Lytechinus pictus: one gene and its partner. The protein of the gene in region 2 purifies or fractionates together with the protein of the main gene of each other region. This does not show direct contact. Links are inferred from orthologs where the notes say so. Each region holds a gene or a part of one and is shown on either strand. Other genes may lie near its edges.

The links.
Region 1: the proteins of cytoplasmic FMR1-interacting protein 1 homolog (region 2) and protein BRICK1-like purify together in Drosophila melanogaster (affinity purification with western blotting; 4 studies listed by BioGRID). This does not show direct contact. The link is inferred for Lytechinus pictus from reciprocal best matches to the Drosophila melanogaster genes Cyfip and HSPC300.

Annotation. Positions count from the first base shown.
Region 1 is NC_087247.1:5,996,878-6,005,751, forward strand, and holds the start of protein BRICK1-like, read right to left. Parts: upstream 3,683-8,874; 5' UTR 3,637-3,682; coding exon 3,513-3,636; intron 1-3,512.
Region 2 is NC_087249.1:49,436,010-49,445,559, forward strand, and holds the start of cytoplasmic FMR1-interacting protein 1 homolog, read right to left. Parts: upstream 3,623-9,550; 5' UTR 3,475-3,622; intron 1-3,474. UniProt on the Drosophila melanogaster protein: Plays a role in guidance and morphology of central and peripheral axons and in synaptic morphology. Also required for formation of cell membrane protrusions and for bristle development.

The DNA of each region.
Region 1 (8,874 bases), on a different chromosome or scaffold from region 2:
CCTCAACATTCTAAGATTCAACTCAACAAAAGAATCATTTTTTTCTCAACACCTATTTGATATTAAGGGGGTTATAACGAGGCATCACATTATGTCATCAGATGCCTCTTTAAAACGTTATGACTTGAAATAACAGAAAGGAAAAGGGATCAAAATGTTATTCAATTTCAGGTAGATGAAATTAATTTTCTAAAAGACGATATTGTAATGCCCAATCCTTTCAGAGAAGTTCTTTTCGATTAAAGGGTAAGTACAGATTAAGCGATTTTGTATTATTCAAGGCTCCACATTAACTTTTTTTGGTGGTGGCCCGTTCGGGCCACCAAAACCATCAAATAATTTTTTTTGGTGGCCCGATATTAAAGTTTGGTGGCCCGAAAAATATAAAGACAAACATTAAAAATGAATAAAACAAATTTCTGAAATATTAATTCTGCAGCCACTACCACTAAGTTACTTTCACTTTATACATCTTGTATGTAAACCTTGTTTGCTGTTATTTTACTTTGCTAATTGATAATTGTTTCTATCGTCGTAAAAATGAAATGATTGAAAGTGAATAAATGAATTGTATTGTTCGCAGGTTGTGTGGACTTTTTTTAAATCTCTGTATAGAGATAATGGTAAAGTAAATAAATAGTTCATAGCAAACTCAGATAGATGTACAAAACAATGGTTTTTCCTTCCTTCCACTTTGAATCCTAAAACCTAGATTATGCATGCCCCAAATCCAGTTTATTTCTGTTTTCTCTTTTGCAGCATATTATAGAAGGAGAAAATCACAGAAAAATATGCTGCAAAATTAGAATAATGCATGAAAGGGGGAAACAAACGAAAATAATTTTCAAAAAGTATATAACAAAAAGAAAACAAAAATAATAAAAGAAATTAGTGAAATAAAACAAAAGAAAGAAAATGAAGAAAGAAAAAAACAAAGAACAGGGAAAAAAAGATAAAAAAGAAAAGAAAAAAATCAGAGAGAAAAAAGAAAAGAAAATGAAAGAAAAGAAAAATTAATAAAACAAAGTTAATATAAAAATGGGGAAAAGGGGAAAATTAAGAAGCCATTACATATATTTTTTAACAGCTGTGGCAACAGTCTATTCTGACTGGAATATAATTAAAATCCAAGCAAATAATTTTCACTTGCCTTTTGGGAATGGCACATTTCTATTTTTATATCAGGCATATTCAATAGGAAGGAGTATAAATGGTTTAACCACTGTCAAAAAAAAAGGAGAAAAAAAAAGAAAACGGCAAAAACTATATCTGGAAAAAAAGTGTGAGAAAAGTCCTTCCCTATATTTGCCAAAATGTTGGGAAAAAAAATCACATTTCATGTCAATGAAATGCCTTCCCAAAGTATTTGCTTTCTCAAGAGTAGTTTAAGAAGTCATTTATAAACAAGAAAGAAAGAAACTGTCTGTTTGTTTAAGGCTAGAAAATACACAGCTTCGAAAGAAACCAAGTATCAACATACATACAAATGCACACGTGGGACTGTGATGTACTTGCCTATGTGTTTTTATGTGTATTAATTCATGTGGAAATCTGTCTTTTTGAGTCAAAAGAGAGGTCATAATTCCTCTTCTTAATACTTGCAAATAATCAGGGTACACCAGATTTTCGTAATAAAGACTGTAGAATTGCATTTCATTGGTGTAAAAGGTGACTTTGACTTAGATTTTCAAAGTTCTGTGGAAGATTTCTCAGCAGCAACATTTTTTATCGCAGCTCCCTGAGTCTGAATAGGCTGAGCTAGATCTAGAGCACAGCTGTATGCAGTGGCTTCATGCAAAGCTCACGCCAGCCGGCCGGCGTGGCTGGCTGGATAATAGCTACTGTATGCTATAGCTGTAGGCCTAATATGCAAACTTTGTGTGTGTGTATTTGTGTGTAGATCAACAAAAAGGGCGCATGACGAACTGGCTTGCAATTTGAGCTGTAGAAAGTTGATAAATGCGTGCAAAATTGGGAGAAAAATTGCGCTACTTTGAAAATTATTGGTTGCCCGATTCGGGCCACCAAAACTTAACATTTTATCAATAATGGTTGCCCGAGGTGAATTTTTGGTGGCCACCGCTAATGTCGAGCCTTGTATTATTTAAAGTTAGAAAAATAACATTAAATACATGTACATCCATTGATACAAGAACTAGAGAATTTCAGTTTAAAGTCCTAAATAATCTATATTTTTTTAATTATAACTTGTTTAAAATGAAAATAGAAGATTCGCCAGAATGCTCTTTGGGATGTCTAAAGATTATGAAACTTTAGAGCAGGCACTATGGCATTATAGCTACAATGTACATGTACGTACAAACATTTTGGAACGAATTTATCAATGTTTGATTTTCTACTCTGAACGAACAGACCATAATTGTAGGATTTCTAGAAAAAGATAAAGAATCATATCTTACTTATTCTTGCAAAAAGATGTATTTACACAAGTATAAATAGTAATAAGCCAAGCATTTTATTTTAAAAGAATTTTATTTTCTTTGTATGCATATTGCTAAATCTCCATCAAAGAAAATGGAAATGTGTTATGCCATTATTTACTTCTAGTCACTGCCTAAAACGATTGGGATTTATTTTTGTTTAGTTTAGTTTATACCGCTATTATATTTTCCGCATACATTCGTATTCCGAAGGTTCGTATTTCCGAAGGTTCGTAATTCCGAAGGTTCGTTAGTCTGAAAACGAAATGAGGTTCGTAATTCCGAAGGTTCGTTAGTCCGAAAACTAATGATTAACGAGCCTTATTTCGTTTTCGGACTAACGAACCTTATTTCGTTTTCGGATTATCGAACCTTCCGAATAACGCCACAAATGTTCGGATTAACGAACCCTTTTACGTTTTCGGATTAACGAACATCGAGGTATAGGCAATTTACGTGTTTCGGACTTACGAACCATCAGAATAAAGAACCTTCGGAATTACGAACCTTCGTAATTACGAAGTGTAACCATATTTTCTTTACTTACCTTTTCTTATAATTATGCAACGTACCTGTACCTATTTTTTGTATGCATTACTTCGTACAAACCAAAAATGCATGAATGTATCCTTATTGATTTATATTCATATTTGTATGTTTTATCGAAAGTATTGAAATATTATCATTTGAGGCCGAAAGGCGAAATGTACAAAAATCAACTTGAAAATGAAATTCACCGTTACGTTACGCATATGATATGAATTGATCTAGAAACTAGAAGTAAAAATAGAATATAGAAAGAAGTGTTTGAAAATGTATTCATATATAATCTACCATGAATCACTTCTCTGAAATATAGCAATAATTTTTGTATTAATTGAAACGTTGATACAGCCCGTTATCAAATTTAAGTTAAAATTAAAAGATTCGGTCGATTTCACCAGATGTGCAAACTAAATACAAATAGCACACAAAGAATCCTACGAGTGGGGCAACACGAAGTCACTCCCATTTCCCACACACGCCCACACTTTTAATGATTTCATCACCAAAAAATACAATTAGACTCACCAAAAGAGTTGAGGAAATCTGCTATCTTTTTTATATTGGTTGTTATAATTTCGATGTACTCCCTGTTTGCCCAGTCCTCTTGAATTTGATTCCGGACAGTTGATTGAGGCATTGATCGAGACATTTTGGAAAATGAGTGCCAATTTTGATGTCAACGCGCAGTGGTATTAATCGTAAAATCATATATTAAAACTGAATTTGCTCTTAAAAGGAGAATTAACAAATTATTGAAGAATAATTTTTATTTTATAGATATTTTAGTATATTTTATACTCGAAAAATTATTAATTGTTAGTTGTTAATGTTAATGTCATGGGTAAATCAGAAGAACTGTGTTTTGTTTTCCGTGAGTAGAGCTCGAAACTTCCGGGTTTCCTCCTTCTTCATGCGGACAAGCTTCGGGGAGAAATTCCGAAGAGCTTTGTCAAAGTGCATCAGCGCCAGCTCACGCTTCCGATCACCCATCCTTCATTTCTCGATTTTTGCGGCTGCTCGCTCACGCTCGACAGACTCTATTGTCGCCTAAGCTATGACTGATAGAGGATGGACACAAACTTTAAGAGAGAGTCCTGATTGGCTAATATGAGGAGTAAATCGCATCAATATGTATCTGTTTTATTGAACCGTGATAATGCAGCCAGTGATTTGTAAATTTCTCTACTTGATCTCGAGGGTACTGACATTATTATCTACGGATTGTACATCGACGGACACCCGAATTGGTCGGTTCACGTATCTTTCAGACACCCGCTGGATCGTTTTAGCAGCGGCGAACATACAAATTACAGTAGGTGTTTGAAACTTGCCTTTGGCGCTGAACTCCTCTTAACTCTTGTTGAGTTGATAAATCTCAGGCAAAATCTACACTGTTCTGCTTTTTTTTGCTTCTGCACTTCAATATCATCAAGTCGATTTGAGAGACAAAGCTAGCTCATGGCCTGACTGCATTGACAATTCCAAGAAATGGAAATTGGAAGTGAACTGATGATGGATAAATAGCTCTAAGAAACTGAAAGGAGATATATATTTTCCATATTTTTTGTCAACCGGGCTTTATGTAAGTATGTGTTTGATTTACATGTAGTTCTTTATCTAAACTGATTAAATCAGTGATGTTATTGAACTTATTGTAAAACTTGGTTTTGTCTTGTTCTTTTTTGTTCTCTAAAAAAAATCTTGTAGACTACTTTTAATTTAAAGTCATGGGCCGCTTTTCACCATTTTATGATGGCAACATCAGGCCCACAGAACAATCTTTAAAAAAAAAAAAAAAAAAAAAACTTTTTGAAAAAATTGATTTTAGATGGACCTACTTCAACTTTTTTTAGGAAGTGGAACAACTATATAGGGTCTAAAAACTTTTAGGAAGTGAAACAGTAAGGTTTATACAATAAAAAATATATATCACTAGGTAGGCCTGTACCAATAATGTGTTGGGGTTTTTTTTATTCAAGTATTAAAATCTTTGATTATCCACTTTCTTAGGTTTATCTTTAGGGGAAGAAATAAGTTGACCATTTATTATTACCCCCTAGTTGTACATGTATATCACAGTGAGGATGAAGAGGAGGGTGGTGTTATGTTGGTGATGATGGTGGTGGTGGTGATGGTGGTGGTGATGGTAATGATGATGGTGGTGGTGATGGTGGTGGTGATGGTGATGATGATGGTGATGATGATGGTGATTATGATGAATATGATGATGCATGATGATGATGGTGATGATGATGATAAAGAGGAGGAGGATGTTGGCAATGGTAATGGTGATGATGATTATGATGATGTTGGTGATGGTGATGATTATTGCATTGATTTATAATGATAATGATAATAATAATAATGATATTGATAAAAATAACTATAAAATTAATGATAACAGTAATCATAATTTTGATAATGATAATAATATTAGTAATTATCAAAACAATAATTGTGATTTGTGATAATGATAGTGATAATAATGATAAAATGACAATTATAAATAATTTATGATGATATAATAATGATAACTAACAACAATATCTGATAATAATGATGGTCACAATAATTATAATAGAAAAAATATTTATTATAATTACAGTTATAATTCATTAATGAAAGATAATTATGGTAACATTTGGAAAATGATTATGATGATGTAGATAATTCAATGATAATATTGATACATGTAAGTTTGTAATATCTGAAAATGATAGTATGTGTTATGATAAATGATTCAAGTTTGCATTTTAAATACCATAGGTCTAAGTCACATGGATTTTTTAACTTAAATAATAATAGTTGCTTTGCAAAGTCTCTCTTCAGGCTTATTTTTAACAGATTTTTAAAGAGGTAGCAATGAACAATTTGCTGTTTGTCCCTGTACAGTATGTAACATAACATATAATGATTAGTAGTGAATACAAGAATATCAGGCTGCAATTCCTGGAAAAGGGACAAATTAATCTATGGCAGTAATATGCAGAAATTATCCATTACTTTATTCAAGGATAATGGTTAATGAATTACTGATCTGTGAATGAATAATAAATGACTACCAATTCCACTTTACCATAATACAGTGTAATACGACTAGTATGGCTAGTTAGCAATCCACCCCTTGTCAACATGAGTGATTTTTATTTTCATGCAACAATTTAATACCATAGGCATTGGTTGATTTATTCATAATAACATTGAATCTGTTTTGAAGAACAGACTTATAAAGGTATATGAATAGGTAGATATGATGAATCTGCTTGTATCCCAAGAGTGCATTCAGTGCACTAGTGTTCCTCCCTTTGTGATTTGCAATGTACTGTAGTTTTGGTAGCTTGTTTCGAAAGTCACCAAAAGCACCATCTCAGTGGCCAAACGGTATTGTGCAGTGGAATTGAGAATTTTACCATCTATGTTAACTGATATTGTTTTCCTAATGATTAATGTACTTGCCATCCTAGATTATTATTTTCTTTAAAATTTACTTTGATTGGATTTTGATACTACTAAGTACAATATTAATTTTCCATTATACTAAACAAAAATGTGATTTTTTTTTTTTTTTTCAATAATACATGTATATGCATAGCAGTGAATATTATGGGGGAAAAAACTTTTAAGCTATCAAATGATAATATTATTTCTAATGAAATAAATCTTGAAGAAGACTGTCATTATTAATACTATATTGCCTTAATAATGTAATTTCTTTAGAAAAATGGAAAGCCTTTGCTAAATTTTTGACCTAGAGCTGCACATTGTCACATCATTCACTATATTCAACAGCTTATAACACTAGTTAGTAACAAATTGGATACAGTACACATACTGCCTTGTTCTCTCATAGTTTTTGCAACTGGTGTAGAACTATTAGTCACCAGACAGAATGTAAATTTAACCCGCTTTCGAATATATCCATTACAACCTGTACAATAGAGCAGTCAGTGATTCCATTGACAAAGATCAAATGCCAAATTTGTCAGTGAAATTAATATTTCTCCCGTTTTAGCAGAGTTCACTGTACAGGCCGAGACCCATTCTTACGGTACTAATCTCTCCTAATGTACATTGGTAACATCTGTAGCCCATGCATTATTACAGGAAACTATCGACAACACTTAAAGAGTAACCCATAGCAACTAAAATCGTACCCTGAGCAACTGCAACAGTGAACTGTTAATTCATACCCTCCAGGCCAGCGGGGCCAACTCTAACGTAAACACCTCACATTAATGATAGACTTCGTTCCAACCTGTTACTCAATTTCTTCCCATTTGCTCCTTTAAAAGGCGAACTGTCGTCTCTGGTTTCATTCAAGTGCCACTTAGAGGAGGCTCCAGTCAGTGCCAAAATCCTCAAAATGTAATTTAGGAGCATGGGGCGATGGCAGCAATGATTCACCAGGACAGAAAGAATGTTCTTTTCACATTACTTCCATCACATTCTGGAGTCGGATATTTGTGATCTTTGCTTTTTTTTCTGAATAGGAAATTGATGTTCTTCAGCACTTACAATTACACTAGAAAAATGTGAATGAAGCTGTGATATTATTAATTGGAGACTAGACTAGAAATGGCTGAATTTCCGCTCAATTGATGTATCATTGAGGCCCTCCTGGAATTGTTAAATGCATATTCATCAACATCTTGCTTTGAGATGTGTAATTCTATATTTATTTTGCTTCAAGTTCATAATGGTGAAAAGGAAATATGTGAAATTACTTTAATGTATTAAAATTCATTCATTGCAAATTAGTGAGAGTTGGATTATTGGCAATATAAAAATGGTATACACATGAAAAAATAGCACGCACATGAAAAAGAGCACAACTACATGTAGATACAAATACGTAAAAGAGGAGGAAAATTCATTATTACTGTATATTCACTGTATATAAATCTTGGTACAAAAATAGGAAAAAGATCAGCATGAGGCAATAAAGAAGGAACATACATGTAGAAAATTAAAGTAGAGGAAATATGAAGAAGAGGGGAGATGAGGAAGGAAAAAGAAGTACAGATAGAAAGGAAATAAATAAGGGGGTACCTGAAAGTGGGATAAACAAATAAAGAATATCTAAATCTGCATTGAATGAATTTGTATCTTATTCATATTTGATGTGAATTTGGCATACTGGAAAATTTATCTTTCAATTAATTTTGCTCTTTTTACATGTTTTTAGAGAGAGTAGGGTTCTAGTACATGGCACTGAGAATTTGACATTTCCCACATGATGTAGCGTTTAGCTGTCAGTTGAATGTCTTCTTATTGTCTTCTTGAATGTCCTTTTAGTTTAAGATACAGTGGATACTATGAATTCAGAACTACACTTTTGAAAACTGCTTGAAGTGCTATATCTAAAGTTCCAAGCTAGGCACGTAATGTGTAGTATAATAAAGTAATCAAAATTGTAATATAAATGGTTGGGGACAAACGCAACATTGACTATGCAAAGCATGATTTCTTCAATTGTGTGCATGATCCTGTTTCAGAGTGAATATAACTACAATCTGCAATACGCTCATTCAATCTCCAAGATTGAACCCTTAGAAATTCTTGTTCTGCCAAGTCTGTAAACGAGTCTGTTATTAAAGCAAAGTATCCATGGTTTCCGCTTCTCCCTGTCTATTTGTACAAAGCCAATTTGCGGGGCATTTAGCTTGGTAGTCAAACTCGGACTCTAAATTGATTGTGACATTTATTTATTTTCTCATTTGGCTGAAAGTCGGTGCAGCCAACTGACGAAAAGCAAGAGCTGGTAATGTATCGATAAATGGAATTCATTGGTCGGTCAAGGATACGTGACTGTGTACTCGCTGTACTGTATGCCTGTATTGTTTGCAGGTCAATATCTACAGTTTTTGGTATTGTTTCTTTGTTGTTA
Region 2 (9,550 bases):
AACGGACAACATCTCAACCTCTGCTCATTTCTTTTTGCACGGGCACATAAAATCTCGACCTACCACTCACTTTTCTCACTATTTTCTCCTCCCTTTTATTTTCCATTAATTTATCTTTCGTTTACTTTATTTCTGTCCTCTTTTCCCTTCTATTTTTTTCTCGTCTCACTACTTTTCCTCATCCCCCAGCCCCCGACGCCCGTGCAGATTCGCAAACAATATCAAGAGTAGTCCGGGTAGGCAAGGGCGGAAATCTCTCCCGAAAGGTAGGGGGACTAGGGGCTGGAAAATTTGACAAGCAAACTAAAGAAAAAGGTTTATCACCCCAATTTAAAGAAGGTCATCTTGACCAAAAGAAATTTGACAAGCAAACAAGCCCCCCCCCCCAAAAAAAAAAAAAAGGGCACCCCAAAAGTAAGCTCGTCTCTTCCAAAATACATGTTTTATTTCGATTTTGAATTAAAAGACCAAAAATAGTAGAGGGGCATTTCATAATGTGCCCCGGCCCCCGACTATTTTGGGTGAGGGGGACATGTCCCCCTGGGATTTGCGCCCATGTGGGTGGGGGTGATGCGCCTCTCTTTCGGAATCATTATGGAAGAGTGTAAATACGAGTTCGCTGTGATTTCGATCTCATACCTATAAAAAAAAAAATAGAACAGCTACGCCTTGAACACAGGCAAAAATGCCTAACGATTTCTCCGCGGCATTAACAACTCTCGTAAGGGGCGCTCCATTTATAAATAAAGTTGCATATGTAGCTGTCTACCGCGACAGGAACAGCCGCAGAATTGAAGCCAGAAGCGTGGGAAATTGCCAGAAAATTCAAGAAAAGAACCGGTGAGTACCGATTTAACAGTACTAATTTATTAAGTAACATTTATTGAATCATAAGAAGATTTATTTTTTAGTAAAACAAAGCTTAGTTCTAAGCTAGGGCGGCCCAAATGCGCGTGAGTGGAGTCCCAGTTTATTAGCACGGGTAAGTATTGGGGTGTCGCCTAGAGTGACCCTCATCATGCTCATGGCTCATCCTCATCTTCATCATCATCATCTGGTACGGGATGAAGGCGCAAGCCTGTAATTCCCGGTCGTTTCTTGTATGATTGGTCACTGAAAACTACTACTTCATGAGCTTGCGTGAGGAGTCATGGAAGCTCAAAGTGTTTTTTTTGCCAAAAAATATCAATATTTCTTTTAAATTTGTCTGTTGTTGGCATTTGTATTAGGTTTTCAGGAAGACTATTCCAGTCATTGATGACTCTTCTACTGAAAGACTTATTTCTCACATCCAGTTTGCTATGGGATTTCAATAATTTCATGGAGTGACCTCTTGTAGAGTTACTACCAGACTTGGAGAAGAAATGGTCTGGAGAAATGTTGACCAATCCATGCATAATCTGGTGGACCATTATCATATCTCCTCTCCTCCTTCTATAATAGAGTGAGTACATGTTAAGTTCCCTGAGTCTCCTTTCATACGGTACGTTTCTCAAGTCCTTCACTAGTTTTGTTGCTCGTCTCTGTACTCTCTCAACCTTCTTGGCATGTTCTGTAAATCTACCGTTCCAGATGACGCTCCCATATTCCAGATGTGGTCTAATTAATGTCTTGAAGAGAATGGGCAAGGTAGATTTGTTTAGTTGAGTGAAAGTTCTCTTTACGATTCCAAGCAGTTGGTATGCCTTATTAACAGCTAGAGACACATGCTGATGAAATTTCAATTGATTATCAACTGTTACCCCAAGATCCTTTTCAGTAGCTACTGACTTCACTTCTTGTTCCAGCATATAAAATTTTGCTTCTGGATTATTCCTTCCGATGTGTAGAACTTTACATTTACTGCTATTGAAAGGTAACTGCCATTTCGCTGACCATAATTGTAGTCTATCCAGGTCTTCTTGAAGATCTTTGATCTTTGATAAGTCACTCACTATATTGTAAAGTTTGGTGTCGTCGGCAAATAAAGCAACATTACTCTTGTTGACAGCAGATGATAGGTCATTGATAAAGACTAGGAAGAGAATAGGTCCGAGAACACTCCCTTGCGGTATTCCGCTTGATACTGGAGACCATGGAGATAGTTCCCTGTTTACTCGTACACGCTGAACTCTTCCTGTCAAAAATTCTCGCATCCAGATAAGAAGTTGGCCCGTAATTCCGTGTCTCTCTAGTTTACGTAGTAGCCTTTCATGGGGAACACTGTCAAATGCTTTGCGAAAATCTAAGTACAAAACATCGATTGGCTTCCCTTCATCAAGCATCTGCGTCCATTCTTCAAGCACATACAGAAGTTGTGTGGAACATGACCGTCCTGGGATGAATCCATGTTGGTTATAATACAACAATTGATTATTTTGCAAATGATCCACTACAGCATTCCTCACAATCTTTTCCATTAGTTTTCCTGCTATCGATGTAAGACTCACCGGTCTGTAGTTAGAAATCTGTGTTCTAGTTCCTTTCTTGGGAAGAGGAATTACAATTCCCTTTTTCCAGTCAGCTGGAATTTTACCTTCATGCATTGACTTGTTGAATATGATAGATAGTGGTTCTGCAATAACTTCACCCAACTCCTTCAGCACTTTAGGATGGATCCCGTCTGGGCCAGCTGATTTATTCACATTTAAGGTTTTGATCATTTTTGTCACATCTGATGTTTCAAATCCTAACTTTTCCATACAAGGTATATCAGCGTCTACTCCGGTCACATAATCTGGAAAGTTTTGTAAGTCTTCAACAGTAAATACTTCACAAAAGTATTTGTTAAGGACATCTGCCTTTTCCTTATCAGTTTCTACTAGAGATCCATCATCTCTTCTAAGACTTCCTATCTGACTTCTACCTTTAATCTTACTATTTGCGTACCTCCAAAAAGCCTTAGGATTAAAGTTGATACTTTCCACTAGGTCATCTTCAAAGACAAAGTTACGACTGGCTGCTCTTGTTGCCTTTCTTAGCTCATTTCTTGCCTTCTTATATGAATTTAAGTCTGCTTGTTTCTCGTCTTCATTTCTATAAACACTTTTGGTATAGCGTTTCCAGTTTCGTGCTTTTTTCTTAGAAAGTTTCAGGATTGGTTTAGTAATATAGATGTTCCGTCTTTTGTCTTTACTACATTGTCTAACTTATGAAGACTAAGCATCTTGTCTTCTTGAATCCTTGATTATAAATTTTTCTCCTCATTAAAGCTATAGTGAATTGGGATATCAAAACTTAAAATGCAGACTCTGAGTCTAACTTATGAAGACTAAGCAAGTGAGCAAGAGTATAATAATAACAAGTTTATGCTTTCTGAAAAACAATGGCAATGCAACACAAGTTTATTCAGAACACCACACAAAATTGCACGTCTGGGACTGTTCTCATTATTTTGATGGAAATAAATGTTTTCTTTTCATAACGTATGGAAAAAGATTTTTGGTGAATCAGAACGAAAAACATCAACCCAAATATTTGGATAGATAAGCTTACCAAATATATTGTCACATGAAAGTATGAACAGCCATCGCTGGAAACTGGAAAGCGAATCCCCGGAAGCTTTTCGCCCTGCCTATCCCAACATGGCGAAAACAACGCTAAGAGTGCAGCGGCGCCGCGCCGCGCTAAGCGAGCGCGCGGTGTATGTCGCGTCGAGGAACTAGTACAAGTACCGGTATCGAACGTTATAGGGCGCGGCCAATGGGTGTGGTCATCGGACCCCATCGGTCATCATTATTTAGGTATAAAGCAATTGACATTATTATGTACGGCCTGGTACCACAAACCCAATTTTTAAGTCCCTATCCGAGATCCCCTGTGTCTGCATGAAGCGACCACCAAAAAATATAAGAAGAAATCGTCGCATTTTCCTCCCCCCCCCCAAAAAAAAAAATGTATCGGTAGGCCTAGTAATAACTTTTGGATCAAGGGGGGGGGGGGGGTAGGCCTATTATAAAGAATAGGTATCATGCTTGAATCTAGTGCAAATTAAAGGACAAGTCCACCCCAACCAAAAGTTGATTTAATTGAATAAAAAGAGAAAAATCCAACAAGCAAAACACTGAAAATTTCATCAAAATCAGATGTAAAATAAGAAAGTTATGACATTTTAAAGTTTCACTTAGTTTCACAAAACAGTTATATGCACAACCTGTTCGGTATGCAAAAGAGGAGACTGATGACGTCATCCACTCACTATTTCTTTTGTATTTTATTATAATGATATATTCTAATGTTCTCCTCATTGTCAAGTGAAACAACGATTATACAATTCCTCCCTGAACATGTGGAATTAGCAAGGTTCAGTAAACTTGGTCATTATTGTCAAATCTGTGAAAATGAAATATTGTATATAATTATTTTATAATTCAAATAATAAAAACAAAAGAAATAGTGAGTGATAGACATCATCGACTGACTCATTCGCATGACACTGAGTTGTGCATATCACTGTTTTGTGAAATACAAGCGAAACTTTATTAAAATGCCATAACTTTCTTATTTTACATCCGATTTTGATGAAATTTTCAGCGTTATGCTGGTTTATTTTTCTCTATTTATTCTAATCAAAATTTTTCTGGGATGGACTTGACCTTTAAGGACTGGCGCCCAGCGCGGCTGACCTGAAAACCTGTAAACGGGACAATCATGTCTTGAGCACTTTTTGTAACTGAACAGGATGCATACCTCACTAAAGCGCGAGCAGAACCATTTTCTGAACCAACTTAAGAACAGGGTCTAATTAACAATCAAAGAGAGTGTGAAGAGCGATTCTTCCCTGAGCCCCGGCCCCACCCATTTCTTTACTTTTCCATTTGTTCACCCTTTTTACCCATCTCCCTATTTCTGTGACTTATTAGGCCTCGCCATGTGGCCACTTTGGTCCCATGGATTCGCTATGCTGCGATAATACAAAGTCAAGTTCTCAGAAAAGCAAAAGAAAAACAAGCTACAATAAGAAAAATAAATGGATCATTTCACGAATTGAGCACCACCAAAGTGTTGAACTCGAGCTGAGCGACAACTATTTAGGGGGAAAATTCTAAAATCTCATGCATTATAAAGGTTACGTCCACCACTGTGACAGAAAAACGTTGATTTGAATCAAATCAAGCATAACGCTGAAAAAATCATCAAAATCGGATGTAAAATAGTTCGGTCTTTGTTCTTTTATTGGGTTCCTCGTCGAAATAAAATGATCATTATAAAAACGCAAATTCATTCACTAAAATGCCCCTTTTTATAATTATCATTCACCCCATAACAATTATAGGACAAACAAATTGCAGAAATAAATATTGAACAAAACTTTGGGGATTACCGAAACCTAAAAGAGGCGAAAGTGATGGCCATCATCAATATCTTTCCAAATAAACTTTATCTAATTTGATTGAAAAAAAAAAAACAATTTAATTCAATGGCTGATGAAAGAATTTCTGCTTTAGCGCCATCTCTGTTCATTGTGCAACAGCTTGCTCAGCCAGAAATTTCGGTAATAAATTTCTCACTGACTTCAGCGAAATTTCTATCATATCTATGGAAGACAGAAATGAAAACAAAAGTAGATAACTACATTTTACTCATTAATTATTACACTAAGTTCCGACCCTTTTAATTACCCATTGTCCAATGTCTTTACAAGTACATACATGCAGTTTGATTAAATTTTATGTACATATTTTGAAGATCATTTTGTTTCCATGACTGTATTTGTACATGGCTTGCCTGAGACCTTTACGGTATTAATGTTATGCACGATCGTAAAATTTATTGTACATTTTTTGGTTACATGTCAAAGTTGTCAATTTCGGAAAATACATGTATGTGGAAAAGGTATGCCTGAATGAAACAAAATAGACAACCCCCCCCCCAAAAAAAAAAAATAGACAACCCCACAAAAAAAAAATTTCTCAAAGACAGCTATTATTTCCCTCTATTCTCGTCTTAATTTTCTTCTCTTCACTCTTTCTTCCTCCCCTCTTTTCTCCATTTTCTTTTCGTCTCTCTTCCCATTTTTCTTCTCTAACTCTTCCTCTTCCCATTTCGTTTTCTTCACCGTTTCTCGCATCTTATGTTTCAATTTCTCTACTCGGTACAATTCCCACCCTTTTTCTCACTTTTAATTTCCTTCTCATTTCATCTTTTCTTCTCCCCTCTCTCCCTTCTTGTTTTATTCTTCTATTTCATCATTCTAATTTTTCCCTTCGTCCTCTCATTTTTTATCTTTTCTCTGTTTTTCCCATTCTTCTCTCTCGTTCGTTGTTCTCCACTTTTACCTCTTCCTACTCACTTTCCCCCATTTTCTCTTCCACATTATTCCTATTTCTCCTTCCTTCTTGCCCAACATCCTGCTCGCTTCCAACACATCAAAACAATTAACAAATACATGGACACAGGGTAAAACAGATATCGTTTTGTACAATTTATGATTTTTTTTATCATTTTATTTTGTCAGATGTTGTTGTAACACAAAATGTCGACACAATATTACATCCAGCACACAGAGAACCTGTAAGGGCTTTTGGGAGAAATAAATGTACTAAAACATTTCAAAAGTTATACGGTCATTTGCATATTTTGCAATAGGACTATGTAACAGGGTATATATGTGGATAACTGCGTGCAGGGCATAGGGATTTTGGTTAATACCATACAGAATCAAAATTGGCATCAAATATATTAATTCTGGAATGTAAAATTACAACTAGGTAAAAGGAGTTATATATCAAACAATTTCAAACTTAAAAGACAAATGTGGGAAAATTGGTTTTCATTAAAAGTATTTTTTTTCTGTTGAGATTTCTGTGTTGAACTAGTGCAGTTTAACGCCTACAAATATTTATATAAAGACGGACTGGTCAGTTCAATAACATTAAAAAAAGCATAATTTATACTCTTGTCTAGTATACAATTATGCACTTTATTTATGTCACTGTTAATTTATGCATGCCAATCTATAACTTTAGCAAGATAAAAAAAAATCCAGAACCATACATATATTTTGTGCAGTATTATACATGCTTTTTAAGTTAAATAATAATTTTGACAGATAATGAATGAATTTCAATGGAATGATATAATCTCTTTACAGTAATACAATGCAGTCCCTGTTTTGGGTATATAAATAAGATTACAGTAATGGAATTTATCATTTCTTGATTAAATACATTTTTTTTTTGGTTTTCCTTTTACCCCTTATATCACTGGGGATTCATAAAAGTCACTGTGCCTGGAGTAGAAACAAAGAGTCATTTATATCTCTTTTTTTTTCAAAAATGAAATGCATAAAAATGTTCCAACCTTCAAAATAAACAATTTCATTCCATAAGTTATATATGAACAACAATAGATTACTCTCTTCATGTACAATACACAAATGAACAAAGCGTATATACCGACATTATATGCCATGTACAATAAAAATACAACAGTAACACTATCATGAAATATATCGGTCATTTTTTCCATCTCGGACCCCCCCCCCCCCCCCCCCATTTGCAAGGTGCTACATAACATAGAACCCCAACTACAATTAACCGGAATAGCAGCAAGTTTAGCGCTCGATACATATCCCATAAATTGTAGAAAAATACAGTGTTATATTTTTCAAAATACCATTAACTGATACAGTTCAATTGAGATTGACATTTCAAGCTCCCCAACTCCCCCCCCCTAAAAAGAATACTATCAGTATTCATTTAAAGCATTAACAATTAAATCAATATGGACAATTTTACACTTCCTGTTGGAGTGTTGGTATGTACAAGGAAAATGTGTTGTTTTTCAATGCAGCAAGTTTACAAGAGGCAGTCCGAGAGTAAAAGGGATCATTAGCTATGTAGCACCCGCTTCATTCGAAATATGCATTTATATACAGCAAAATTGTGTTACACCACACACAAGGCTTCAAAAATGTTATGCTACTAACAGTGTATTTAGTGACAAGACAGAGGCTTTATATAGTTAATGAATTTCATTTTTTTCCTCTAAGAATATTATTTTTTGAGAGAAAAAGGCCAGAAATATTCCAGGACTAGTAAGGCCTGTATTACCAGGCGAAGTATTTAATCGGAAGTCTAACATAGAATACAAATGACGAGAATGCCTCTTGGAACACATTTTCCAGAGATGAGCATCTTTTACAAAGTGTATTTCAGAACTACCTTTTAAAAGAAAAATTGTGTACCGTAACAAGTCATAATCAATGTTAACATGATTGTCCAATCTGATAATCTACTGATAAACTCCCCAAAAGTCTAACACTACAAAAGTCAATCTCTTAAAATATATTCTTTGGTTTTGATATGTTTGTACGGACAGGGGAGTGGGAGAAATAGATCTATATGTAAAGAATAAAACATAAATTTCTTGGAAAAGGGAAACGTGGGGTGGTACAACAAAAGCAATAAATAATATCACTTATCTTATAAGTCTACCAGTACATCAGCTGCTTTTTTGAGCAAACACTAGATACTTTTGACATTTGAAAATTAAATACATGGGGATAAGGTACCTCAACCCTGTCAACTTTACTGAGTTTCCAAAAACACGTACGAACGAAGAAAGTATTGCAAGTACCACCGATGAATACATAAACAGGAAAAAGTAATAAATAATCACATGGAAATAAAGATAATAGTATAGAGGGGGAGGTATTTTTCATTCAAAATTCATTATCCTTTTTTGCTCTTAATACAAATATTCTTTTTTTTATGTCATGATGAAAATAAATGAGTTTTTGAGATGACAATTAAACATTTGAAAAGAAAGCAAAATATTTGATATAAAATTCTATCGAGACAGCAATATGGTCTTTTTCCCATTTTCGAGTGACCACATTGACATGATAAAGGCAATAATATGGACCGTGAAACTATTCATCACATCCAAAATCTAAAGTCTTCATCAATAAACATCTCCCGAACCCAGATACGATGTAAAAATAGAGACAAACTGCAATCTTACTCCACATAGAACTGGTATCACAAAACAGAGAAACACGAAACAGCCTTTGTACAGTATTTACAATACAAGCTTATTCATTTCTCAGCTATTCTACCCGACTTGCTATGAGTTTTTAAGTCATTTTTTCTATTTGCCTTCATCACTTCATCTATTCACTTTTATTAATTTTTTGCTTTTGTATTTTTTTTGTTTGGTTTGAGGCACATGGCACTACCTGCTTTTAATAGGTAGTAGAAATGCATTCCCTTATCACAAACTCCCTTTTATAATTCAAATATACACTAAGTCTATATATTCTACTGGCAGTGTTTTATCTACCTACAATAAGGACTAAGTCAAGTTCTATAACTATTTCTGGATATTTAATTTGTTTTTTAAACAAACTTTTTTTCCTTCTATTTTGAGACTATACTTATTGGTGGGTCACTTTGCATTGAATTTAGCATGCTTTACAGCATGCAGAAAATGTAATATCACAGGATATGTTGTAACATAGTAGCACAGAGTTGGTGAAATCAACAGAGGAATATGGCTAACCTAACATTACAACCAGAACTACTTTCTTTTTTAAGAGTCTGGCTCCTCCCACAGAGTCCAATACTGC